Cricetulus griseus: one gene and its partners. The protein of the gene in region 5 interacts with the protein of the main gene of each other region in a biochemical or structural test. Links are inferred from orthologs where the notes say so. Each region holds a gene or a part of one and is shown on either strand. Other genes may lie near its edges. The genes, in order: Tanc1, Pkp4, Kcna4, Sipa1l1, Dlg4, Net1 and beta-1 adrenergic receptor.

Region 1 (3,500 bases), on a different chromosome or scaffold from region 5:
ACAAAAGCTTATTCATCAATGCCCACAAATCCTTATTGCTCTACTAACAATGGTATCTCAAATGCTTGCCTTCCCCCAAGAAGGGGTCAAGTAAAAGCAATGAAGCCCTCAAAGGTATCTTCCTCACTCCCTGCAGCACCCAATATGGCAGGGGTGGGAGGCTGCTGTCCCCAAGGTCCCTGCACTCTGACCTTAGTTCGCTCTGGCTCTGAGGACCTAGCTTGCATCCCCTCTCCCATTCCTGTCCAGCTTTTCTTTTGGTCTAGACAGGTTATAGCCTTGTCACACACATGCAGCTCTGTCACTGCACAAGCACCTTGGGAGGCCACTGAGCTCCCTGTGTTTTGTGTTTGTTTTTCAAGTAAAAAGATGGAATTGCCACTACCTACATATAAGATCAAGATAAAAAAGGGAAACTGCTTAATACCGGGAAAAACCGTTTTCCATGTAGCCCCTTGTACCCAGAACTGCTCACGGTCAAAGAGCCTCCATAATAGCAAACCAAGACAGGGGCACTATAGTTCTTCCCTGTATACGTGCTGAATGCAAGTGATGCTCTACTAGACACATATGTGGGCCTCCACACAACCTGTAGCTAATTGCCCACTCTGCTCCAAGGACCTCCTCAATGTCTCCTTCAGGGGAATTGTGTGCACTGAGGTCCTAACTTTCTGTCTAGCTGTCACTGATAACTCTAGAACAGCAGCCGTTCTACAGAAACTACCCTGGGTTTTCCTATGCCTCGGATGCTCAGTGCGTCTGAAATTAAAGCAGAGCCTAACTGCAGGGATTAAATTTTTGAATGAGAATGGCCTCCATAGGCTCATACATTTGAGTGGTTGAGCACCAGTTGGTGGAACTGTTTGGGAAGGATTAGGAGGTGTGGTCTTATGGGAGGTTATGTGTCACAGGGTGGGCTTTGAGGCTTCAAAAGCCATTTTCATTCCCAGTTATCTCTCTGCCTCATGCTTGTCGATCAGACATGAGCTCTCAGCTACTGCTCTAGTACCTGCCTACTGCCATGCGCCCCACCACGATGGTCATGGAGTCAACCTTGGAACTCTAGTTCCTCAATTAACCCTTTCTTCTGTGAGTTTCCTTGGCCATGTTCCCATCACAGCAATAAAAAAACAAGATGCTAATACTTCCTGGTGTGAGTGTCCCTCTCCCACTTAGCCTTTGTTCTCTGCTTACCTGGAGAGAATGTTATAAGGTAAAGGCCAGCAAGATGGCTCAATGGTTGAAGGCATTTGCCTGCAAGGCTGGGGACCTGAGTTTAATCGCTGGGATCCATGTGGTTGGTAGAAGGAAAGAACTAACTCCCACCAACTGCCCTCTGACCTCTGTGTGCAGCTTGGATTGGCACACACAAATAAAATGTCATTTTTTTTTTTTTTTTTAAGAAGAAAATCAAAAGCAACTTCAGTTTTCTGGATGACTGGGATTAAATGAGACATAAGACAGAGCAGAGCAGGAGGCAGAGAGAAAGAGAGAGTGAGCACACACTGCCAGCCGCCCAGCAGGTAATCTTTAGTCCTTACAGGCAAGGCTCTGAAGCCTAATCTCTGGCCCTGCTGACAGAAGTGGGGTTCACTGACCTAGTTTGGCTCCTTTCCTAAGCAGCGTAACCACCACAGCGGTGTTCCGACAACCGATGGCTCTGTCCAGGGGGCGCATCCCACTGTGGTCCACGTGCTCGATCACAGCTCCCTTCTCCACCAGATACAGCACCTGTAAGCAGCAGGGGCAGAACAAACTTGAGGAGCAGTCCCTGGCTGAAGGAGGGCGGATCTTCCTGTCACGCAGTGTCAAATGGAAAGAAAACCGATGTGACACCAAGGAAAGGAGGGAGCTAAAGCCCATGGCTAGACTCTCTCTGCTGAGGTGACTCTGCTACCAGTGATGAGGAAGGCAAGCCGACGGGTACAGACAGGTGTGAGCGGAAATACATGACCTGTATCTGACCCCACTCACAAGGCCACAGACAGGACTCGTGGTCACCTTTTCACCTGCAACTAGCAGGGAGGCTTCTGCAATGAGCTCAGGCGTGCTCCAGACACACAGATTCACAGTGTGGGGGGACAAGCTGCAGACATGAGCAGCCTGGAGCCAGGTGGGCCAGCATCATTCACTTTAGGGTTTAAGAAAGAGATGACACTGTTAGGACTGTGAAGATGGTGTGTCTGAGGTCACGGTATAACAGCTGGGCATGATGAAATAGCTGCATGTACTCAACATAGGCAATGCTAAGAAAAAAACTACTTTACGTCCAGCTTAGATGGTTGTGTGAATGCAACTGGACATATTTCCTACCAATCTACTGGGAATTCAAAACGACACTAGAGGTTACTATCCAGAATATAAAAAGAGACCCAAGTAGCTCAATGATGCTCTGGTTTGGAATGTACATCCTGACAGAGCATGGCATCTGCCCTGGCAGACATCTCCCAATTCTCAGTTTACAAATTAAAATTATAACTTAAAACAATTAGTATATTCTAAATTAACTATATGTTTAATTAATATTTTTCTTCAGGGAAAGTGGTTTCTGAATGGCCTATGCAGGGATTTTATTTATATGAAGCACATGATAAAAATAAAGCTACAAAGAGGCATGCATGTTCAACTCCATGTCTGCAGTGTATATACAATTGGTAGGGGTAGGGCTTTTGGGCTTGGAAGAGTGCATAAAAACCTTGACTAACAGTCTCAGATTGGACTGCATACAACAGAGTTATAGACAATTGAAAAGATTGCACACACACAGAGGCCACAATCAAGACAGCTTCACAGAGCCTAGACATCAGAGCAGGCCCTTCTTTCCATCATCCCTATCCTGCACACAGGAAAAGGCCCACACACCGGCAATGAACATCTGTTAGTACGCACCGTTTCTGCATCACCATAGAAGGCAGCCAGGTCCAAGGGAGTGCGGCCATTTTTGTCTGTCTGATCTATCTCAGCTCCTTCTTCAACTAGGTACTGGACCACAGCCCTGTGACCCTTCAGACATGCCCAACTCAATGCTGACAGGCCCTCTTTGTCCAGGGAAGAAAGAGCAGCACCTGAGAGAAAAGTCCATTTATAGCTGGTTGGCAGACATGAAGATGTTCTAAAGAGACACTGTGTTTCCCAATCTCACTATCAGACTGTTGAAAAATGGATCCCAAAGAATGAGATTTTCCCCAAGCATCTCACACTGAGAGAAGGAAAATGCACCAGCCAGAGAGAGAACTTATTTCCCAAAAAGAGATTTCCCAGTTTTAACAACTTGTTAGGTCAGCTAACAGGACAAGATGGAAGCCCAGACAATGATGGGCCAATGGCATGTGAGACCACATCTTGACGAGAACTGATTAGATGTTCATGTCCTTGGCCTTTAAGTGAAACTCTGATTTCACTTCAGGACCCCAAAGATGGACTTGAAGAGGCTGCAGAACCTTTTGTCCCTCCTCCCAGTGTGGTCACACTGAGTAAATTTCCTTTGTCTACTTTCTACT
Region 2 (3,500 bases), on a different chromosome or scaffold from region 5:
CGTCATTGTCCATCTGTCCTACCCCCACTCCCCACCCCCATAGATAGTGAGTGGCAAACTGTACATCTGATTTCATACTTACAGCCTCTGATATGATGGCTGTTGCTTTGCATAAACTGTGCCTTGTAGTTAACTTGACTAGACTGCATTTATTCTGTGAAGAAGGAAGTAGCTTATTGGAAAACGAAGCTGTCCCAGGATTTGTACTTTGTGAAATGAGGAATGTGAAAGGCTTTGACAGAAAGAGAATTGCAGCAGTCATGTTAGGAATCACATGCTCCAAGATTGTCAGCGGGGATGGTTTCTGGGTAATACCATTTTCCCCATCAATAGCCAGGGAGCTGTGTGCTGCCACTGTGGCTGGCTCGTGTTCCTGGGTAGTCACAACTAGCACTCTGGGTTCGGTATGATGATTTCATTAACAGGGACTGTTAAAGCCTTTACCCCACCCTGCTATGCCTCAAGCCACTCTTCTGTCTCCTTCCTTTTCTCTTGTTCCTTGGTCAGCACAGACCAACCAAGAACTGACTCTCAGTTCTTATCTATCATTGTCTTCTAATGATTCTCCCTAAGAAAATGTCCAGCTAATGTCTTACATGGGAAAAGAAATACAGTGAAGGCCACTATGGAGCAAAGATAAATGTGATCATTCATATTCAGAGTCAGTTCTTTCCCAGCTATGACAATCTGGCCAAACCCCCGCCCCCAGACCCCAACCACTGCCCCAAAACACTCCATAGAGAAGTAACTCTGACAGTGGAATTGAGTTTCTATTCCTAAGCACCCATGCACATCTGTGCAGATTTCTCAGTACAACCTTGTGTCTGTATGCCTTGATACAGTTATGTATGTGAACAAAGGTCATAGTGAGAAGAATCAGCTTTCAGAAACAAAGCAAGGCATTTATCTTCCAGATTCTGAATTGTCTAAATCTCCCTTTTATACCAAACCACCCTTCTTAAAGGAGAACTAGCCAGGATCCAACTAAATGGGCACCATGCAAGATAAAGTTCTGAGAGACTGTGCTCAGAATGAAGTCTTTGGGGAAGGTAGGAGGAGAAACCAAATTAATGAGGTCAAGAAATCAAAGAGGAGAGGAGTAGGCACAGAGGCAGAGCAAAACACACACAGCATCAGTCTCCATTATTGACCACATCTTTATAGCATAGGGATTGCAGCGAAGGCAGCCCTTGGGCATACATTCGGGGTCTGTTCTTTACTCTTCTGCTGTCCTTTGCTTTCTCCTCTCCTCCCACAGAGACAAAAGCTGCTGTCTGCTTGCTACCTCCCCTCGTAATTTACATCCAGAGAAGGCTGCTCAGGCTGGCTCCAGGCTGGCTCCTTGGGTCACAGCATTTGGAGCAGCAGTGTTCAGTCTTGTCTGGCCCAGTGCTTGATGAGTTCTGTTCAGAGGCCCATAGACAAAGGCAGACATTGTCAGTCCCTTCTCTCCACAGGCCCACAAGTGTCCAGTGCTGACGGTTCTGTGAAGCCTTTGGAGAAGCTTGTCACAAGCATCAGGAGTGTGGGGCCCTGAGAGACTTCTGGGCAAAACAAGCCACCTCTCAGATTCGTTCCCATTTTTCTATGAATCATAAGGAGTTATGGCAGTGCATTAGCACACTTCATTTATTACTTTCTCCTATATGAAAAAGGGAATGGCAGTACTTGCACTTCTCAATCACATGGCAATAAAACTCTTTAAAGAGGAGAATGAGGCAAATACAATGACCCTTCATGCTCCTGGTTACTGTAGGATGCTATACTACACTGTATTTCCAGGAACTCTGTTAAAGCTGGGCTTCCCACTAACGAAGTGAAAATTGAAAAAAAAAAAAATACTAGAAAGGAGGCTTAATGAGAAATATGCCAATCTTTTGGGGAAAAGAAATTTTGTCTAAGTCATAAATTCTGGAAGCTTGTCATATCAGCCATTGAGTGTAAGGGACAATGCAAGACAAGCAAGCTCTATGAAGCTCACAGGCATGTTGTATTTATGACCCTTGTACTTGGGTTACTTCCCTGTGTCACCCTCCCCCTGGGAATAGTTACTTTGCCCACAGTTGCCTAATAGATGAATGGGGCTCTAAAATTGGAAAGCTGAGTCTTGAGACTTTGAAATACGCTGTAAAAGCCAGCATGTGTGTGTCCAGCACTTAGCACAGGTCCATCCCAGGTCAGTGGCAAATGTGGAGCATAGATGTGGGAAGCAGGTTGGGCTCCCGGAGGTTAGAGCTCCTGTGATTGTTTCAGTCTTAAAGCTGCAGAATCTGATCATTTTTACTTGAAATTTCTCTTTTTTAGGAGTTCTTTGGAATTTATCGTCATGCGATGCTGTAAAGATGACAATCATTCGAGATGCTCTCTCAACCTTAACGAACACTGTGATCGTTCCACATTCTGGGTGGAATAACTCTTCCTTTGATGATGATCATAAAATTAAGTTTCAGACCTCGCTGGTTCTGCGGAACACGACAGGTTGCCTGAGGTGAGTACTTTCTTCCCAATTAGTTACGTGATTAAAGAATGTGTGTCATAAGTAAATCGGCTATAGACGGTGCTGCTCTCTGGCTACACATCCAGAAAGTGATGGTTCTCCTTCATAGCAAAGTGTGGAATTTGTCACTGTGTGAGGAAACACAGTGAGCACAGGCTGGTGGCCCAAGGCAACTGTCTCACATGTGACTCTTCTGTGAATTATTTTAGAAGGTCTGTTAGTCTGAGGGCACTGCAGCAATCCAGCATTTTCTACTGTAGTTGCCTTTTTTCTGACTATTACAGACTTATTACAGACCTGGTATGGCCTGGTTTTTGTTTCAGTTCCAATTATGGTCACTGAAGTTCAGGTTTGTTTTGTTACTTTTAAAGAGAAGTGGAGTTGTGTGGCTTAAACAGCTATTGCTTTTGAGTTCTATAAATAAGCGAGCCCAAATGCTGTTCATTAGTCATTACCTTTAACATAAAATCTGTGATTCTTTTATGTTTTCAGAACAGCTCCTTGTTTGCTTAGCCACTTACATGTGGCCCTGTTCCCCAGCCTCCTGTTGCTCTAGGCACATGAAACAGAAGCCTTGGCAGAATGGCAGGGGGACCTGCAGAGCCCAGCTTTCCTGTTCCACTGTGAGCTTTAGTGTTCATCTACAAAATAGAGGTGATAGTACTGTAGGGCACAGGGCCCTGAGTTCAAGTCCCAACCCTGAAAGGAATAGCAAAAATAAAACATCTAAGCACCTCTGGGGCAGAGAGTTGGAGCCACAGGGAGAGGACCTGTGCTACTCTTCCAAAGCCTTCTGCACTGTGACAGAAGGCACTTGTGTCACTGGTCCTGGGTGGGATATTTAGCCTGTGGTCATCAGGAAACAGCATTCCATCCCCCACCCTAGATCCAGGGATGTGTGATCCGCCCCCACCGCACCCCCCCCCCACTCCTCAACCCCTTAGGCAGTGAGTACCCACATCAGGGTACAGCATTGGCTGGCTCTTGCACGACCTGCTGTAAT
Region 3 (3,903 bases), on a different chromosome or scaffold from region 5:
CCAAAGACATAGGAGATGTTATTAAAACACTGATAAAAGACTGCTCAAATTCATCAGTTCTTACATAGTAAATACTTCAGAATGCCAACTTTTCCAATCACAGCACAATTCCCAACAATGTTGACAATTTACTTACACACCCGTGTGCACACACACTCTAACACACACACACACTCTAACACACACACACACACACACACACACACACTCCTCAGGACCATCTTTACTATTAACATCTTTTCCCATTATGTGCAAAATTCTTGCATTCTATTAAAAAATATAAAGATAAATCTGCTCTATTTAAGCCTCCCTCTTCTCCAAGATGTATCATTTATTTGATATGCAATACAAATTTAGTCACAATTATGCCGTGTATTACCATTAAACAGTGTACTACTGTATGCAGTGCAATCATTTGCATATTTCATTTTCATAACTGCACTCTCTATGCATGAATATATTTGGAGATGTGGGGAGCAGTGGCAGGTGGAGAAAGCGCTTCACACATCGGTCTCCACCGCTTTTGCGTTAGAACAGTTGTTTTTATCTGTCTCGCTATCATCCCCCTTTCCCTGACACTTCTCTTCCCTTCCACACAAAGATTCCTTGACCCCTTCTTCCATCTCTAGATACTCTGACTTGTCCCCTAGGGATGAAGAAGTTGAACTCCGAAATTTCTTGAGCAAATTAGAAGGGAGGTATGGGCAACTGACTGCATTTTGTGTCAGCTGGGTCTGTTCCTCATTTTCAGTCTCTCTGTGGTAGAAATAGTTAAAGTTAGACACAATCACCGGCACAGGCAAAGCAATGGTTAAGACACCCGCAATGGCACACAGGGACCCCACAATCTTTCCTCCCACTGTGATGGGCTTCATGTCCCCATAGCCCACAGTTGTCATGGTTACCACAGCCCACCAAAACGCATCCGGGATGCTTTGGAAATGGGTAGTGGGTTCATCTGCCTCTGCAAAATACACAGCACTGGAAAAGAGAATGACCCCAATGAAGAGGAAAAAGATCAGAAGGCCCAGTTCCCGCATGCTGGCTCTGAGGGTGTGGCCCAGGATCTGCAGGCCTTTGGAGTGTCTGGAGAGTTTGAAGATCCGGAATACTCGAACTAGACGAATGATCCTGAGGATGGCAAAGGACATGGCCTGCTGCTGCTGACCATTGCCACCTCCTTGCTGCTGGGCCAGATCAGTGCCCAGAGTGATGAAGTAAGGCAAAATGGAGACGATATCAATGATGTTCATGATGTTTTTGAAGAAGAGAGCTTGGCTGGGACAAGCAAAGCATCGAACCACGAACTCAAAGGAAAACCACACAATACACACTGTCTCCACGATGAAGAAAGGGTCATTGAATATTGTGTGCCCTGAGTTGTCCAGGTGGGGTGCCGATGTGTCATTCAACAACCTGCTGTGCCCACCTGCACTCAGGGCCATGATGAGATCCCTATCATCCCGGAACTCTGGCAAGGTTTCCAGGCAAAAAATGACAATGGAGATTAAGATGACCAGGACAGATACAATGGCTATGCCCCTGGCAGGGCTAGAACTCTCCGGATATTCAAAGAGAAGCCAAATCTGTTTTTTAAATTCGTTCTCTGGCAGAGCCCTGTCCTCCTCTTCTCTCACAAAGCCCTCATCCTCCCGGAACTTGAGCAGGGCTTCCTCTCCCAACTGATAGAACTTCACCTCCTCAGTGAAGATATCAAAGGGCACATTGACTGGCCTCTTCAGACGGCCTCCTGACTGGTAATAATATAAAATGGCGTCAAAGCTGGGTCGGTTCCTATCAAAAAAATACTCATTGCGCAAAGGGTCGAAGTACTGAGTCCTCTTCTCAGGGTCTCCCAGCAGAGTTTCTGGAAACTGGGCCAAAGTTTTCATTTGGGTTTCAAAGCGTAGACCGGACACATTTATCACCACACGTTCACAGCAGTCACTGTAGCGGACTGAACTGTAGCCACCACCACCTCCATCATCCTGTGGCAGCAGGTCTGTGTACGAACACCCATCCCCATGGTCATCTTCACTATAGTAAAACCTTCCCTCCTCTTCCTCCTCTTCTTCCTCCTCCTCGTCTTCCTCTTCCTCACTCAGCTCCCTCAGGATCTTCTCTTCAGAGCCACTGGGCATCAGGTCTGAGCAATGAGGAAAACTGCTCTGCCGATGGTGGAGTTTCTTCTTTTCAGTTCGCTGACGCCTCCTCCTCCGACTACCTCGGCTACCTTGAGGATCATGGGAGGAGTAGGCCCCACGCATCTGGTGGTGATGGTGGGGACCGCCACCAGAACCCCCAGTACCTTCCACAGCAGCCGTGGCAGCTGCCACAGCAGCAGCTGCAGCTGCCCTGGAGTGAGCAAGTCTCTCCCGCTCACGGGCCCGGGCCTGGGCGGCATAACCATAAGGCATATGACTGTTGCACCCTGAGCTCTCTGCACTCACCATTGCAACCTCCATGGTGGTGGTTTTGGGAAATGGCTAGTTCCAGTTGTAAGAGAAGAAGAAAGAAAAATAGGGCAGCTTATTTTCTTACCAAATTAAGGTAAGTTTGGAAGCCTTAAGCAGATTGCCTGGAAGACTTAGGATATTTTCAGTACAACTTTGCATTTTCTGTTTTTAAATCAGCACACCCCATGCTCCTTCTTCTCAGAGATTCAGCGTTGCTTTCCAGAGCTTGGCTAGTCTAGACAACAGCCTAGTGCTCCTCAAACATAAGTCATGAAATGTTGCGGTCTCCCAAACACCTACGTGTTTTGGGGTAGATGTTCAAATCTGGAAGTATGTCTGGGATGCGCTGGGTGATGACGCTACAAGACTCAAAGGCAGCAAGTATCTGACAGCCAGAAGTTGTGCCTAGAAAATGAAATATAATTTTCTGCATGGAAATTGTCCAAAACCCAGTCCATCCAATTTAAATAAAATGCAAATAAGTCTTTAGTCTTAGCACTTGCCGTGTAGTGTTGGCTTGACCCATGTTAAGATGTGCCTTAGAATATGTCCAACCATTGCTGCTCAGTCTATGAGGAAGATTTCCCAGGCTCTCTCTAAGATCATCAAAGGCTTCATGGACCCACAGACAACGCCAAGTGGTAGATAGAGGCAAAGACCTTGGAAGGCAGAGAGGGTGGAAGATGAGGCTCCAGCAGAGGCAAATCCAGCTCTGAGGTCTCCATAGAAATCAGGAAATGAAGAACATTCTTTGGCTAACTCATTCAGAAGAAGCACTTCACCTGAGGAGGGGTGGGAAACAAGCACAGGAGAAAAATAAAAAGAAGCAAAGCATAGAGAGCAAACAGCCCTTTACTCTACACGCACGGCTTCTCTTGTCCTCAGGCCAATTGGGAGGCACACACCAGGAGACCATAACTTTTCAAGAGCACAGGGCAGGCTGCTCTAAAATCTCTCCCACTCAACATCCATCTTGCTTTCTTCTTTGTTTATTAGTTCAGCTCCGTCTATTTTTTTTTTTTGTGGCAACTCATTTGCTTCTGTCCATTCTCAACCCACATGGTTCTTGCTTTTCTCTGCCCCTTCACCAATGCCAGGTTTTAATTCTCACTAGCATCCTCTTCATTCCACAACAGCAATGCTGTGAGTTTACAGCTGTTTCCATTATTCATTTATCTCAAGGAATTCTCTTTCAATTTTTTCACTCATAAAATGTTGCTGAATTAAGCACCCTTAAAAAAACAATTTTCTTCAGTTTAGATTCAAACTACTTGAATGAACATCAGTTACCTCATCTATAAAGTGTAAACAAGAGAATCCATTCCCTCCACTCCACCTTTGGAAGGACCAACTGAGATCATGGATGCTATTAGGATAGCACACTATCTTGCATATAATGAATGGCAATGAATATGACAGTTATGGATAACACAGCATTAAACTGTAT
Region 4 (3,500 bases), on a different chromosome or scaffold from region 5:
TGGTCCAGATCAAGTAGATAAAGCCTGCTGGAGGTCTCTTAGGCCCAGCGATCTGTGTAGACGGTCCCATTTAGCAGGTACCAAAGAGAGAAAAGGGTAAGTTTGGAGTCCTTTCCTGGAGGTGAGGGTGGAGTGGGCAGGGGTCTGTCGTTAATGCTCAGAGCTTGACTTCAGCCCTGACACTCTTCACCTGCAGTGTATGATCATTGTGGTTTTCTGCAAAATGATAGATTTGTGCCCCCTGTACCTGGAGATACATTTTGGGTCTCCCTGTTGTTTCCAAGGACTTTGGAGAGTATATCCATAGACTAAAATGAACACACATTTCCCTTGTAAAATTGAAGTCCAGTTTGAGGTGAAGCTCACCATTTTATGGAAGTCTGAGTGAGAGCCTCTGTAAAGTCCCCTTTAGTGCTGACCTTCCCTAACTGCTTCAGTCTCTAAGCTCATCTTGGCCTCTCACCCACCTGGGTGGCAAGTCCCATCTCTCCATGCTGCCAGGTGAGCAGGCTTGAAAAGGGTAGATCATTGCCAAGATGCAGCACTGTAAGTAAGTGTGGCTGACAAGAGATCCTGTGGAACCCACCTTTAAAAGAGCAAGAACCATTTGTAGGTAATCTTAGCTACCTATATTTAGAAATTCTAGACAAACTTCTTTTTGAATTGAGGCAAGTGTTCTAATTAGCTTAAATGAGGCCTTACTATAGTGAGTTTAGCATCTATGGTATCTGTGTCGTGAGCTTTTTAACCTTGTAGGACAGGGCTGTGAAAGTTAGTGCGTCTAAGACAAAGCCATTTGAAAGGTGCCTTCTAGGCTACCATCTTCTTCACCGCCTTCTTGAGGATTCTGTTTCTAATATTGCAGACCTGATTACTGTCTATATCACTTACTCCCATCTGTGGTGAATCACGGATAATTACACAGTAAAGACTTGGTTCTCTCTCTCACAGTTCGCTCTAGAAGCTTCTAATTAGTGGTGGGTTGCCAGAGTGTGTTTGTCTAAAGTTCTGTCGCTTAATAAATAGATCTATATTCTCTTGTGGGCTTAGGGCAAGTAGACGTGCTCACGATCACACCCCTGCTGAGCGTGTGCACCTCCTTAGTTAAATAAAAGCACAGCTGTTTCCTGAGGAAGAATGCTCTGAGTGAAATTAGCAAGAACAGAAATTGCCAATTTTAAAATGAAAGATATTAAACATTTCTGGATCCTCACCAGATTCCTTGTAGAAAATCTACCAAACCTGGATTTCAGCATTTTCTGCTCGGCTTCAGGGCTGAAGGGGGGTTGGGGGGTGGAGGCAAACATGATCAAATTAAAATTACACAGCTGTCAGTGTTCAAGCCAGACAGTTCACATTGACAAGAAAAACTGCCTTTGTAATAGTGTGTAATTAGATCCCAGTGCATGCACAGGGGAGTCTGAGGCTTCACTTCTGCAGTTAGAACACGGGTATTGGCTGACACCTCCCTTTGCCGTAAGGTGAGACTGCTGGTGGTGTTTTTTGTTTGTTTGTTTGTTTTTAAATATAAACTTGTAAAAATCATAATGTATCCCATCCGAGGTGTCTCCTGACAGTGTAGCTTTGCCATTCCACCAAACTATAATTTCTAAGTATAAAATCTTCACTTGTAGGTTTATTTATCCCATTTCTATAAGATACAGAAATTTTTCTGAAAGCAGCTGAATATCCGAAAGTGAGGCTCCCCATCCCACTTGAGGGAGGCTGAGACAGAGTCTCATTCTGTAGCTGTTGTGAAACTCACTGTGTCTCTCAGGATAGCCTGAGTTCTGGGGTTATAGGTGTGACTCTGACGAGACTTTAAAGTAAAGAAAATGAAGTAGAATTCTTCAGTTCACTTTGAAAGCACACTCTCAGGTATATCCTTTCTTTTGACAATTCTGAGGAAACATTTTACAGTGCAGTGCCATGGCTGACTCACTTTTAAGTCACCGAGAGAGGGATCATCAATCACTTTTAGCCCTGGCTGAGGGCACCATGTGATCTTGAGAACTGATGTGTGACATACAGCCTCTCTATTTCTACCCAGCTTCTCTTGTTTCAGGAAATTTTAATATCTTTCTTTTTGAGATTAAAATTAGAAGATCAGCATAGGTGTTTATGGCCATTTTTCATGAGCCTAATTTTTAGCTCTGTGTATGCAAAGGGAGTGATGGGAATAAGCTTTTTAAGGTCAGTCTGACTTAAAGAAACAGGGAAAGGGAAATGAGTTCCTTAAGAATCACAGACGGAAAGCAGAACATTTGGGTCAAAGAATAGCTCAATTGAAAACAGGATTTTCAAGTACTGTGGCAATTCTCTAAAAATCACAGTTACTATTAATGGTTTTATTTTAAAGTTATGCTGTTAATCTGGTCTCATGATGCCTCACACATGGGCCAACAGATACTGTTAGCTTTATTATTAGAAATGGAGATGAGAAATCACTCATTTCTCATGCCATGTATCTTCTGACTTTTCCCTGGTGAGCTGTGTCTTGCCTGCAGCCTTCTTGTCTAAAGTGGAGGACACATTTGTGTTCTGACAGACTTTCTGTCTGAAAGGTTGTGTGATTATGACATCCTCCACTGGAATTAGTCTGTAGGTATTTAAAGTAGCTTTTATTCTCTTATGTGGAACATTACAGTAAGCCACCTGCCCCACGATGACATTGTAGCTAGTCTCCCATCTGCTAAAGAAGTGAGGTTTTAACTTTCAAGCTTTTAGACAGAAAGGGTCTGCCTGGAAAGAAACCTGAATTCTCTAAAGCCTGAATGAAAAAGTTCACTCGTTAAGCAGACCTTTGTGTTCTTTCTTGTACAAAATGAGCAGTTGTTTTGCCTTTCCCAGTGCTTCTCCCTTCCCTTTAGCACTGGGGATCAAACCCAGAGTCTTGCATGCACATGCTACACTGGTGCTTTCCTGCCGAGCTACACCCCCAGCCCTTTGTCACAGCACATTTTATTCCCTTGTTGTAATAGAAGACAGACATACTGACACACACTCCATCTTTGTTCCCTGCTTTGTCTCTCAGCGTGGCCGTCACCAGGTCCAGAGATGTGCCTTCTTTTGGACCTCCCATCCCTAAAGGGGTCACTTTCCCCAAGTCAAATGTGTTCAGGGACTTCCTTTTGGCCAAAGTGATTAATGCAGAAAATGCTGCTCATAAGTCAGAAAAATTCCGGGCCATGGCAACAAGGACCCGCCAGGAATATCTGAAAGATCTGGCAGAAAAGAATGTCACCAACACACCTATCGACCCTTCTGGCAAATTTCCATTCATTTCTCTGGCATCCAAGAAGAAGGAAAAGTCTAAGCCTTATCCAGGAGCTGAGCTCAGTAGTATGGGGGCCATTGTGTGGGCAGTCCGGGCCAAAGACTACAACAAGGCCATGGAATTCGACTGCCTCCTCGGGATCTCCAATGAGTTCATCGTCCTCATTGATCAAGAAACAAGGAGTGTGGCTTTCAATTGTTCCTGCAGAGATGTGATAGGGTGG
Region 5 (4,172 bases):
GTGGTGAAGTGGTGGGGGTGGTTTCTGAGCTAAATTCTGAACCTACCATAAGATTGGTTTTTCTTCTAGGACTGGGGCTCCAGCTCTGGATCACAGGGTAGGTAGGGAAACTGGAAAAGCTGTGGGATGAGTGGAACGTGGAGTTTCCCTTGACATTCTCGGGAAAGCAGGCCAGGTGGTCTCCAGGTCCCCTGTCTTGGAGCCCGTTGCAGATGCCCTGTCTCCTACTAGGTCGAGAAGACTCGGTTCTGAGCTATGAGACAGTGACGCAGATGGAAGGTGAGCCCTAGCCCCAGCCTCAGCTGTCCTGCCCGCCCACTCTGCTTGCTGCCTAAGCCCGGCTCTTTCTTCTCAGTGCACTATGCTCGCCCCATCATTATCCTTGGGCCCACCAAAGACCGTGCCAATGATGACCTTCTCTCCGAGTTCCCCGACAAGTTTGGATCCTGTGTCCCTCGTGAGTACGATGGCCTTGCATAGAGATGGAGTTGGAGTTGGGGGGCCCAAGGAGTCTTACTTAGTCGGGGCCATGGTACTTGAGTACAGTGGGACACAGATTGCCCAGTTTTCCAGCAGGCAAGGCTGGGTCCGGGTCTGGGAGGCCCCTGGGTGGCAAATTCTGTCTTGCCTTAGTCTCAATGTCCCCAGCAGCATCCTACCAAGGACCATCCGGGTACTCCGGTGGCTGGGGGGTTGGTTGATGTAGGCTAGTATTAAGGGATGGTGGTTAGATCTTTGTCGGGTGGGATGACTTCTTGGCAGATACGACGCGTCCCAAGCGGGAATATGAGATAGATGGCCGGGATTACCACTTTGTCTCCTCCCGGGAGAAAATGGAGAAGGACATTCAGGCGCACAAATTCATTGAGGCTGGCCAGTACAACAGCCACCTCTACGGGACCAGTGTCCAGTCTGTGCGAGAGGTAGCAGAGCAGGTGAGAGCTGGTGGGCACTGCATCCTCTTCCTCCTGCCCCTCCCTACCCCACCACCTCCCTCCAGCTCTCTCTAACTCTCTCTCTCTCTGTCTCTTTCCCTGCTGGGTCTGCACTCCGCTCCTCCACCTCCTTCTCCTCTCGGGCAACTCTGACCGCCTGCTCTTTTGTGGCCTGCTCCCCTTGCTTCCTGACCCCACGCTCCGCACTGCCATCTGTCCCGTCTCTCCTCTGCTTCCCACTCCTTGCCCCATCTCTCCTGTCTTCCTGGGGCTTTGCCTTTGGTGGCTTGGCCTTCCCCAACTTGTTCCCTCCTTTCTTCCCGACTCCCCTCTGCTCATTTCTCCCTCCTATAATGGGGGGTCTCCACTACCCTTTCTCTCACCCCTCCTTTAACTCCTTTTCCCTACTACTCCCCACCCTGCCTTCCCTCCCTCTGTGGTTCTTTCCTCCATCTGCCTCCCCTCCCTCCCATCTGTCTCTCCCATTCCTTCCATCTGTCTGTCCTCTGTCTGTCCTCCTCTCCCTCCTCCCTCTATCCTAATTCTTTCACTGCCTTTCCGTACCTGCCCTGGTCTGCCTTGTGCATACCACCTGACTTGCCCCCCTTGCCCTTGCTCTTCCTTCATCTTTTGGGTCCTCTCTGTCTTCTACACTCTGTTCCGTCCCTTCTCTGCCCTCTTGTGTGCTTGGCTTCTGCATCTTCCATTTCTTTTTCCTCTGTGTTGGTCACTCTGTCCACACCTCTTTCTGTTCTGTTGCTTACATGTCCTTTGACATCTGTCACTTGCCCTTTGGCCAACCTCCTGCCCCCCCTTTTCTATATTCTGTGTTTCTTCCTGGCACCTCTGTCTGTCCTTCCCTGCTACCTGCTGGTCCCTCCCCCACCCCGCCCCCAGGGAAAGCACTGTATCCTGGATGTGTCGGCCAATGCCGTGCGGCGGCTGCAGGCGGCCCACCTGCACCCAATCGCCATCTTCATCCGTCCCCGTTCCCTGGAGAATGTGCTGTGAGTACGGTCCTGGGGGCTTCCCCTCTGCTCCCTACACTTGTGATCACGGGCTCTCCAGGCCCCTACATTGATCTGCCCTCTCAGAACCTTGGACAGCAATTCCCACTGAGCTCAGAGAGCTGGACTGAGGTTGAGAGCCAGGACTGGAAGCAATGGCAGGCCTCTCCCCACTTCTCCTGCCTCGGGCCAGGCAGCACTCACTACAGTTCTCAGTAGCCCCCTGGGGCATACACAGGCTGGGGCAAATCGGAACCTCAGAGGCAGTTGGAAGTTGGAGTCTGGATCCCTTCTGTGGGGCTAAAGGCTGGAAGGATTGCTTCCAGAGAGGTTCTGGATTGGGTGGGTTTCCGGAGCTCATTTGTAGCCAGCCCCAGAGGATATCAGAAATTATGTTGTTTGCTTTGTGCTCCGACTAAGGAAAAGAAGTAACTTAGCATGCCAGGATGGAGGAGGTAAAGATGCGGAGAGGGGCCCACCCCTCAGATCTGCATCTCTCCCTCTTGACAGAGAGATCAATAAGCGGATCACAGAGGAGCAAGCCCGGAAAGCCTTTGACAGAGCCACTAAACTGGAGCAGGAGTTCACAGAGTGCTTCTCAGGTGAGAGGCCACCCACTTCCCTGTGTGCCGTGAGTGCAGGCAGTCTGCTGAGATGCGGTGTGGGAAGAGGTATCCTGCCTGTGGGCGAGGGACCAGGGCTTCTGGCTGAAGGAGTGGAAGGTGCTCCTTGCTCTGGGCTCCTTGGTCATGTGTCCTTGGGACCTTGGCCTCACTCCCTGCTCCACCCCACTGGCAGCCATCGTGGAGGGCGACAGCTTTGAGGAGATCTACCACAAAGTGAAGCGCGTCATTGAAGACCTCTCAGGCCCCTACATCTGGGTCCCAGCCCGAGAGAGACTGTGATTCCTGCCCTGGCTTGGCCTGGACTCGCCCTGCCTCCATCACCTGGGCCCTTGGTCTGGACTGAATAGCCCAGCCCCCCTTCCCACCCTTCTTATTTATTTCCTTTCTAACTGGATCTAGCCCATTGGAGGGGGGACACTCCTCTGCATGTATCCCTGTACCCCAAAACAGGGCTCTTGGACCCTGGGAACCTGGGGCCTGGGGGGCGCTGGGCTCCTGGTTCTGAGCCCCTGCTCCTTAGGACCCCTACCCCTGCCGCCCCCATGCACACACAGACCCACTGGGGGCCTCTGCCCTCCCCATTTTCTCCCACATACATTCCAGAAGTCAGGGCCCCTCTCAAGGAGTACCCGCTGTGGGGATGCAGGGCCACAGGCTTCCACGTTCTCCTGAGGCAGGGGCTGGGGTCACCCCTGCCCCATCATCACTCCCCATGTCATTTGATTTCTCATTTATTTTCTCCAGTTTTCTTCTCAAAGGTGGTTTTTGGGGGGGAGAAGTAAGGGACTCTGCTGTGGGTTCCCTGTCTTCCACATGCCTCCCACCTTTTTCTTTGCCGGTTTGCATGAGTGGAAGGTCTAACTGTGGCTTTTTTTTTTTTATTTCTGGGATTTTTTCTCTTTTTTTTCTTTTCTTTTTTTTGGGGGAAAGGGGAGGGATGGGTCTAGGGAGTGGGGACTATGGGAGGGGGTGGGGGGCGAGGGGTCAGGGGTTGGGTGTCTGGGAGCCAGGGGAAGACAGGAAATGCTGCCGCCTTCTGCAATTTATTTATTTATTTATTTTCTTTTGAGAGAGTGAAAGGAAGAGACAGATACTTGAAACCCAGTGTGTGGCCTGGTTCTTTGGGGTGAGGGAGGGCAGTGGAGAGACACAGGTGGGGGCCTGGGATGGGGGCATGTCAGAGAACCTCAGATCCCTCCTTACCTCACCGAGAATAGAATGCTTACAAGAGTCCTGGGAAGGAGTGATCAAGCCAGGGCAGCAGAGATGGTAATGAACAGGCCTGGGAATTGCTGGAGCTGTGCCGGTCACCATCAGACTTGTCATTGATTCTGAGAACTCAGTTTGTCCCTGACCATTCCTGGCCTCATCCCTGTGGTCAGCACATTTATTCCTAAAAGTACGAGGCTCCTTGACTACAGTAGTCTGGAATTAACCAATGTACAGAGTCATGTACAGAACGTAAAAACTTCATATACCTCACTCGCTGAACTTAGGGCTCGGCTCCATCTTAGAGGGCTCAGAGCGTGGCCATAGATGGGCAAAGTCTGTTGTGTTATAAAGTGCTGAGCAGCTCTCGTGTTGGCCTGCAGGCAGAGGTGTGC
Region 6 (2,572 bases), on a different chromosome or scaffold from region 5:
AATTTTAAGAATAAAACCATTCCCCAGTCATGGATTGCCACAAAAGGGAGTTGATAGGGACCTCTGGCTAGTGACTGTCTTTAAGAGAGTGTGTATGTCACTTAAGTACTAGAACTTTCCTTAAGACTGTATGAGCACGTTCTTAGTCTTGATTCCTTTTTTCTTCCTTCAGCTAAAAATATCTTTAGAGTCCGCTTCCAAGACCCCTCTCCAGGCCAGTCCCACACACTGCAAGCCAATGACGTGTTCCATAAGCAGCAGTGGTTCAACTGTATTCGTACTGCCATTGCCCCTTTCCAGCGGGCTGCCAGCCCCCTAGAGCTGCAGGGCTTACCAGAGCTCCACGAAGAGTGTGAGAACAACCCCAGTGCTGGGAATCTCCCAGCCCAGCGAAGGTCATCCATGGCTCCCGGGTTTACACAGGGAGATGATGAAAGTGCACTGGAATGTGGCTCCAGTGTACAGACAGCAGAAGACACCAAGAGCATGAAGGCACATCGAGTGCAGCCTGGCTTACGAAGAGCAAGGGACAAAGCCCAGTCAGGTGGCAACAGGAAAGAGACTCTGGTGTAAATGTGTTCTCTGGTGGAAGGCTGTTTATTTATAAATTTGTACAGTTTTTATTTTTCTTGTAATGGGAGCATCCTAGGGTTACTCTGTACCAGCTGTAATGTGTTCATGGTTTGGGTTTCTCTCTCTCTCTTTCTCTTCCTCCTCCCTCCCCCCCTTGTTATTGTTGTCGTCGTCATTGTTGTTAATGGCAGCTAAAGATATACAGATTACTGTTAAATTGCAGACTTTAAAGAGGTATTTTCATAGACTATTTGGAACATACCCACCTGGTATTTTTTATCAGAAGGAATATGTGTGAAACCAGCGTTGTCCTGACTGGGTTCACCATGACTTTCCAATTCCAAACAAATGTGATATTTGCAGTATTTCCCAAACTTAAAGTTTTGTTAATGCTGAAATTCTATCAGTGTTCCTTGTTAAACCTCAAATGATGAATGAAATTTTAATAATGACATCTACAATCTACATGGAAGATTTTTGAGTTTGAAATACTTCAATTTACAGTGAAGCACCACTTCATTGGAAAACAACCATAAAACTCAGTGTGTTTTCCATTTTTATCAACTGGAATGCCTTAGATCAGTTTTTCACTGCACATTCCTCATTTTTCATTCATTTATTCTGCCAACTATTTAATTTTTTATTGTAAAGTAGTTTTTAGAATTTTCTTTTATTTTTTTACGTTGATGCCTTTTTTAAATTGGCATGTCCTTAAAGTTTTTCTTCCTGATTTTGTGTGTGTGTGTGTGTGTGTGTGTGTGTGTGTGTGTGTGTATGTGTGTGTTAATCGTATTAGTTTTACTAAGTGAAACCAAGCCATACTGTTGAGCCAATTAAGAAAACTGCAGTTTTTACAGTGTATCATGTCAGGGTAGTGAAGACCCATGAGATGACTTAGTATATTCTAGACTACTGGAAGAAACCACATGAAGGACTTTGGTGAAAGTTTTTGTGTTGTCTAGAAAGCAAGAGAGAAGGCAGGAGACTGGAATAGTGAAGAGAAGGGAAGGGAAAAGGGAGTTTGTCTAAGGTAAAAATGTCTGGTTGATCCAGAGGAGTGGAGACAGGAAAGCCTGACTTGAGGGTATGTAGGAAGTTGTAGAAGGCCAGAGGGGGTGGGAACTATATTTGCTTTGGTTTCTCATGCCTGCAAATACTGAATTTGAAAAGAAACCGTAAAATGTGTTGGAAATTTGAACATATTAGGTTAATTCTGATTGGTTTTCTTCATTAAAAAAAATGAAGCTGGTGATTCTTCACTCCAAAATGTTTGTGTTAGAAATGGGGTCATGCTCTTTAAAGGAGGGAGGAGGACTGAGATCCCGTGTCAGCCCAGATTTATACTGGCCATCAGTTCAAGTCATTGTTACCCATCGTGTGAAATATATCTCCAGTGAAAATGAAAATTGGAAAAGGCTGTAAATAGATCAATCAAGTGATTTCTTTGTATAAATGAATTATACAATTAAAAAAAAGCACACACATAATAACCCAAAACATTTCTTGCCTGGTTGATATTGGAGGGGAGGAGGGCATCCACTGGAACATGAGGGTTTAGCTTATGTTAATATCTGTCCTCTTGCATTGCTTTTTAGCTGCTTAGCTGCTTCCGGTGAGTTCTCTTACTATAAGGATGATCCCTTCCTAGGTGCTCAGCACTCTGTCAGGATATGTGAACACAAAGTGGTAATGAAAACCAGTTATCCAGCAGCAGTTGTAATCACAGCATCACCAGGTCACCCAGCAATCAATTAAAAGACATTTTATTGACCTGATGGGTGTTGGGTAATTTCTGGGCTACCTAAGTCTGTTTTGTGTTTAATGTTTTGAGAATGCAGATCCAACACAATACTTATTTTCAGATGTTAAGCTAAGATGATAGCTTAGCCTACAAACCTATTGTCCCTTTGTCCAGAGAACCTAGTTCCCATAAGAGTAATATACTAGAATATGAATCTCCCAAGATCTGGAAGAAGCTAGAATTTCTGAATACAGATTT
Region 7 (3,349 bases), on a different chromosome or scaffold from region 5:
CAACCAAAAGGAATAGCTCCTTGTGTTGACTCAGCTCGGATTATAAAACCCAATGGGCGCGACAGAGCACAAATGCAGGTGTCAAGGTGTTAAAATCAGAGCCAAAAACTCTGAAGCGTCATTCGGTGTGTCCTTTCTACGCGGGGTGGCGGCGGTGGTGTCATCTACTCTAGACTGCATGTTGCAAACTTCTCCTTCATACTCGGCACACACCGTGGCGTCATTCTCCTTGGCTGGGGTTGGGAGGTGTGTGTGTGTATGTGTGCGTGTGTGCGTGTGCGCGTGTGCGCGTGTGCGCGTGTGCGCGTGTGCGCGTGTGCGCGTGTGCGCGTGTGCGCGTGTGCGCGCGCGTGCGTGCGTGTGTGTGTGTGTGTGTGTGTGTGTGTGTGTGTGTGTGTGTGTGTGTGTGTCCAACTGGTCCCTGGCGTTGACTGTTAACACCCAGAAACCTTCACTTCCTTTCTCCATTGACTGGGCTTGAGTGACAGCACAGCTCTGAGCGAGAACAGCCAGAGAGCCTTTCTGACAGATGCGCGCTCTGCTCCAGCAACCGGCCTGGCTGGAAACTTTCCTCTAACCACGAACACCCACTTCCCATTCCCCCCAAGCTGTCAGGCTGGCCGGGTCCCCTCTCGAGCAGGGAAGGGCCAGGCTGCCTGATGGCAGAACCAGTCTCACAGCTAAACTCCTCCAACCCCAGCAGACAGGCTGTTCAAGGCACTGGGCGTCTTGAGAACGCCAACAAGATTCCCTCCTCGCTGCAGGGAACTCGGCAGAGGAGGCAGAGCGGCGCGGGAGCTGCGGGGCGCCGGTGGGAAGGAGGAGAGCTAGGGCGGGAGCCGCGCCGCGCCGAGGGAAAAAGAGAGCTGGTGCTGGGGCGAGCGGGGACCCCCTGGAGGGGGCGGGGACGCAGCAGACCCGACTCCGGTAGAAGCCTGCCGGAGCCGGAAAGGGCGCGCTCGCTGCAGCCGGTGGGTGCCGGGGAGATGCTGGCTCCGCAGTCCGCCCGGAATCTTTGGAGCGGCTCAATCGCGGGTAGGAGGGGGTGCCGGGTGTTGGGGGGTGGGGGCACCGTTGTCGGGGGCGTGCCTTGGCGGCGATTGGCTGCGGGAGCTTGACGCGCGGCCCCGGGGCTGGCTAGGGGGGTGGCAGCGGGGTGGGGTGTGGGGCCGGAGCTGTCGGCCCCGCGCGCTCAGAAACATGCTGAGGTCCCGGCGGCTCTTCCAGCAGCGGCAGCGGCTCCAGCAGCAGCGGCGGCGGCGGCGGCGGCGACAGCGCTCGGCTCCGGCGGAGAAGGCGCTCGGAGTCCATGCCTCCGGCCCCGAGCCGCGGCTGCCCTGACCTGGCCGCGACCTCCCGCGCGGGCCCCGCAGCCCCGGCTCCTGGGGTGTTCCCCAGCCGCGGCCCAGCCCCGCCACACCCCCCGCCCCCGGCCTCCGCAGCTCGGCATGGGCGCGGGGGCGCTCGCCCTGGGCGCCTCCGAACCCTGCAACCTGTCGTCGGCCGCGCCGCTGCCCGACGGCGCGGCCACCGCGGCGCGCCTGCTGGTGCTCGCGTCGCCGCCCGCCTCGCTGCTGCCTCCCACCAGCGAGGGCTCAGCGCCGCTGTCGCAGCCGTGGACTGCGGGCATGGGCCTCCTGCTGGCGCTCATCGTGCTGCTCATCGTGGCGGGCAACGTGCTGGTGATCGTGGCCATCGCCAAGACCCCGCGGCTGCAGACGCTCACCAACCTCTTCATCATGTCCCTGGCCAGCGCCGACCTGGTCATGGGGCTGCTGGTGGTGCCTTTCGGGGCCACCATCGTGGTGTGGGGCCGCTGGGAGTACGGCTCCTTCTTCTGCGAGCTCTGGACTTCGGTGGACGTGCTGTGTGTGACGGCCAGCATCGAGACCCTGTGTGTCATCGCCCTGGACCGCTACCTCGCCATCACGTCGCCCTTCCGCTACCAGAGCCTGCTGACGCGCGCGCGAGCGCGGGCCCTCGTGTGCACGGTGTGGGCCATCTCGGCTCTGGTGTCCTTCCTGCCCATCCTCATGCACTGGTGGCGGGCCGAGAGCGACGAGGCACGCCGCTGCTACAACGACCCCAAGTGCTGCGATTTCGTCACCAACCGGGCCTACGCCATCGCCTCGTCCGTCGTCTCCTTCTACGTGCCCCTGTGCATCATGGCCTTCGTGTACCTGCGGGTGTTCCGCGAGGCCCAGAAGCAGGTGAAGAAGATCGACAGTTGCGAGCGCCGCTTCCTCGGCGGCCCCGCTCGGCCGCCCTCACCCGCGCCCTCGCCGTCGCCAGGGCCGCCGCGCCCCGCAGACTCGCTGGCCAACGGGCGCTCCAGCAAGCGGCGGCCGTCGCGCCTCGTGGCCCTGCGCGAGCAGAAGGCGCTCAAGACGCTGGGCATCATCATGGGTGTGTTCACGCTCTGCTGGCTGCCCTTCTTCCTGGCCAACGTGGTGAAGGCCTTCCACCGCGACCTGGTGCCCGATCGCCTCTTCGTCTTCTTTAACTGGCTGGGCTACGCCAACTCGGCCTTCAACCCCATCATCTACTGCCGCAGCCCCGACTTCCGCAAGGCCTTCCAGCGCCTGCTCTGCTGCGCGCGCCGGGCCGTCCGCAGACGCCGCGCATCCCACGGGGACCGGCCGCGCGCCTCGGGCTGCCTGGCGGGAGCTGGGCCGCCGCCGTCCCCTGGAGCTCCCTCGGACGACGACGAAGACGATGCGGGGATCACGGCACCCGCGCGCCTGCTGGAGCCCTGGGCTGGCTGCAACGGCGGGGTGACGACTGTGGACAGCGATTCGAGCCTGGACGAGCCGGGGCGCCGGGACTTCTCCTCGGAATCCAAGGTGTAGAGAGCCAGGCTCTCCCGGCGGGCGCACGGACGCCGGCCCCACGGTCCCGGCCTGGACACAGGCTCCGCGTCCCTAGAGGAAGAGAGCTTGCCGGGCGCCCCTGAGCCGCTCCGCAGAGGAGGGAGGAGACCTCTGTTTACTCAAGACCGAAAGCAGGTGAACTCACAGATGAATCTGAATCATCCCAGACGTACAGCAAAGCCCCGGACCGTCCGCAGCGCAAAAAGGGAAGTTTGGGAGGAGTTGGGAGAGTGTGGCTTTCTGATTTGTCTTGGGTTCCTTTCTCTCTGGGGTTCGGCCTTTTGTGTGTTCTCGTGATACACCTTTAGCTTTTGTTTTTTGTTTTGTTTTGTTTTCCAGATGGGTTTTGACATTTTCTGCAAGGACCGGAGTGGAAACTAGGTGGGGAGGGTAAAGGGGGAATGAAGTCTACCACCTGGCTTCCGGTTCCACATCTAGGAACCTAAGTAGTCAGCTCCAGTTTGGGGTGCTGGTGGGAG

The links.
Region 1: the proteins of Dlg4 (region 5) and Tanc1 interact in a test that uses a peptide from one of them, tested with the Homo sapiens proteins (2 studies listed by IntAct, with this or other methods). The link is inferred for Cricetulus griseus from reciprocal best matches to the Homo sapiens genes DLG4 and TANC1.
Region 2: the proteins of Dlg4 (region 5) and Pkp4 interact in a test that uses a peptide from one of them, tested with the Homo sapiens proteins (2 studies listed by IntAct, with this or other methods). The link is inferred for Cricetulus griseus from reciprocal best matches to the Homo sapiens genes DLG4 and PKP4.
Region 3: the proteins of Dlg4 (region 5) and Kcna4 form a complex in vitro, tested with the Homo sapiens proteins (8 studies listed by BioGRID and IntAct, with this or other methods). The link is inferred for Cricetulus griseus from reciprocal best matches to the Homo sapiens genes DLG4 and KCNA4.
Region 4: the proteins of Dlg4 (region 5) and Sipa1l1 form a complex in vitro, tested with the Homo sapiens proteins (2 studies listed by BioGRID and IntAct, with this or other methods). The link is inferred for Cricetulus griseus from reciprocal best matches to the Homo sapiens genes DLG4 and SIPA1L1.
Region 6: the proteins of Dlg4 (region 5) and Net1 interact in a biophysical measurement, tested with the Homo sapiens proteins (2 studies listed by IntAct, with this or other methods). The link is inferred for Cricetulus griseus from reciprocal best matches to the Homo sapiens genes DLG4 and NET1.
Region 7: the proteins of Dlg4 (region 5) and beta-1 adrenergic receptor form a complex in vitro, tested with the Homo sapiens proteins (2 studies listed by BioGRID and IntAct, with this or other methods). The link is inferred for Cricetulus griseus from reciprocal best matches to the Homo sapiens genes DLG4 and ADRB1.

The regions. Positions count from the first base shown.
Region 1 is NC_048599.1:115,043,385-115,046,884, forward strand, and holds part of Tanc1 (protein TANC1), read right to left. Parts: intron 3,066-3,500; coding exon 2,890-3,065; intron 1,732-2,889; coding exon 1,599-1,731; intron 1-1,598. UniProt on the Homo sapiens protein: May be a scaffold component in the postsynaptic density.
Region 2 is NC_048599.1:115,574,902-115,578,401, reverse strand, and holds part of Pkp4 (plakophilin-4), read left to right. Parts: intron 1-2,304; coding exon 2,305-2,488; intron 2,489-3,500. UniProt on the Homo sapiens protein: Plays a role as a regulator of Rho activity during cytokinesis. May play a role in junctional plaques.
Region 3 is NC_048599.1:70,439,945-70,443,847, forward strand, and holds Kcna4 (potassium voltage-gated channel subfamily A member 4), read right to left. Parts: upstream 2,466-3,903; coding exon 501-2,465; downstream 1-500. UniProt on the Homo sapiens protein: Voltage-gated potassium channel that mediates transmembrane potassium transport in excitable membranes. Forms tetrameric potassium-selective channels through which potassium ions pass in accordance with their electrochemical gradient.
Region 4 is NC_048598.1:121,315,936-121,319,435, reverse strand, and holds part of Sipa1l1 (signal-induced proliferation-associated 1-like protein 1), read left to right. Parts: intron 1-3,034; coding exon 3,035-3,500.
Region 5 is NC_048600.1:83,889,557-83,893,728, forward strand, and holds the end of Dlg4 (disks large homolog 4), read left to right. Parts: intron 1-69; coding exon 70-97; intron 98-231; coding exon 232-279; intron 280-355; coding exon 356-457; intron 458-762; coding exon 763-935; intron 936-1,832; coding exon 1,833-1,942; intron 1,943-2,452; coding exon 2,453-2,544; intron 2,545-2,740; coding exon 2,741-2,847; 3' UTR 2,848-3,672; downstream 3,673-4,172. UniProt on the Homo sapiens protein: Postsynaptic scaffolding protein that plays a critical role in synaptogenesis and synaptic plasticity by providing a platform for the postsynaptic clustering of crucial synaptic proteins.
Region 6 is NC_048596.1:228,910,487-228,913,058, reverse strand, and holds the end of Net1 (neuroepithelial cell-transforming gene 1 protein), read left to right. Parts: intron 1-172; coding exon 173-573; 3' UTR 574-2,072; downstream 2,073-2,572. UniProt on the Homo sapiens protein: Acts as a guanine nucleotide exchange factor (GEF) for RhoA GTPase. May be involved in activation of the SAPK/JNK pathway Stimulates genotoxic stress-induced RHOB activity in breast cancer cells leading to their cell death.
Region 7 is NC_048596.1:4,713,453-4,716,801, reverse strand, and holds beta-1 adrenergic receptor, read left to right. Parts: upstream 1-1,448; coding exon 1,449-2,849; downstream 2,850-3,349. UniProt on the Homo sapiens protein: Beta-adrenergic receptors mediate the catecholamine-induced activation of adenylate cyclase through the action of G proteins. This receptor binds epinephrine and norepinephrine with approximately equal affinity.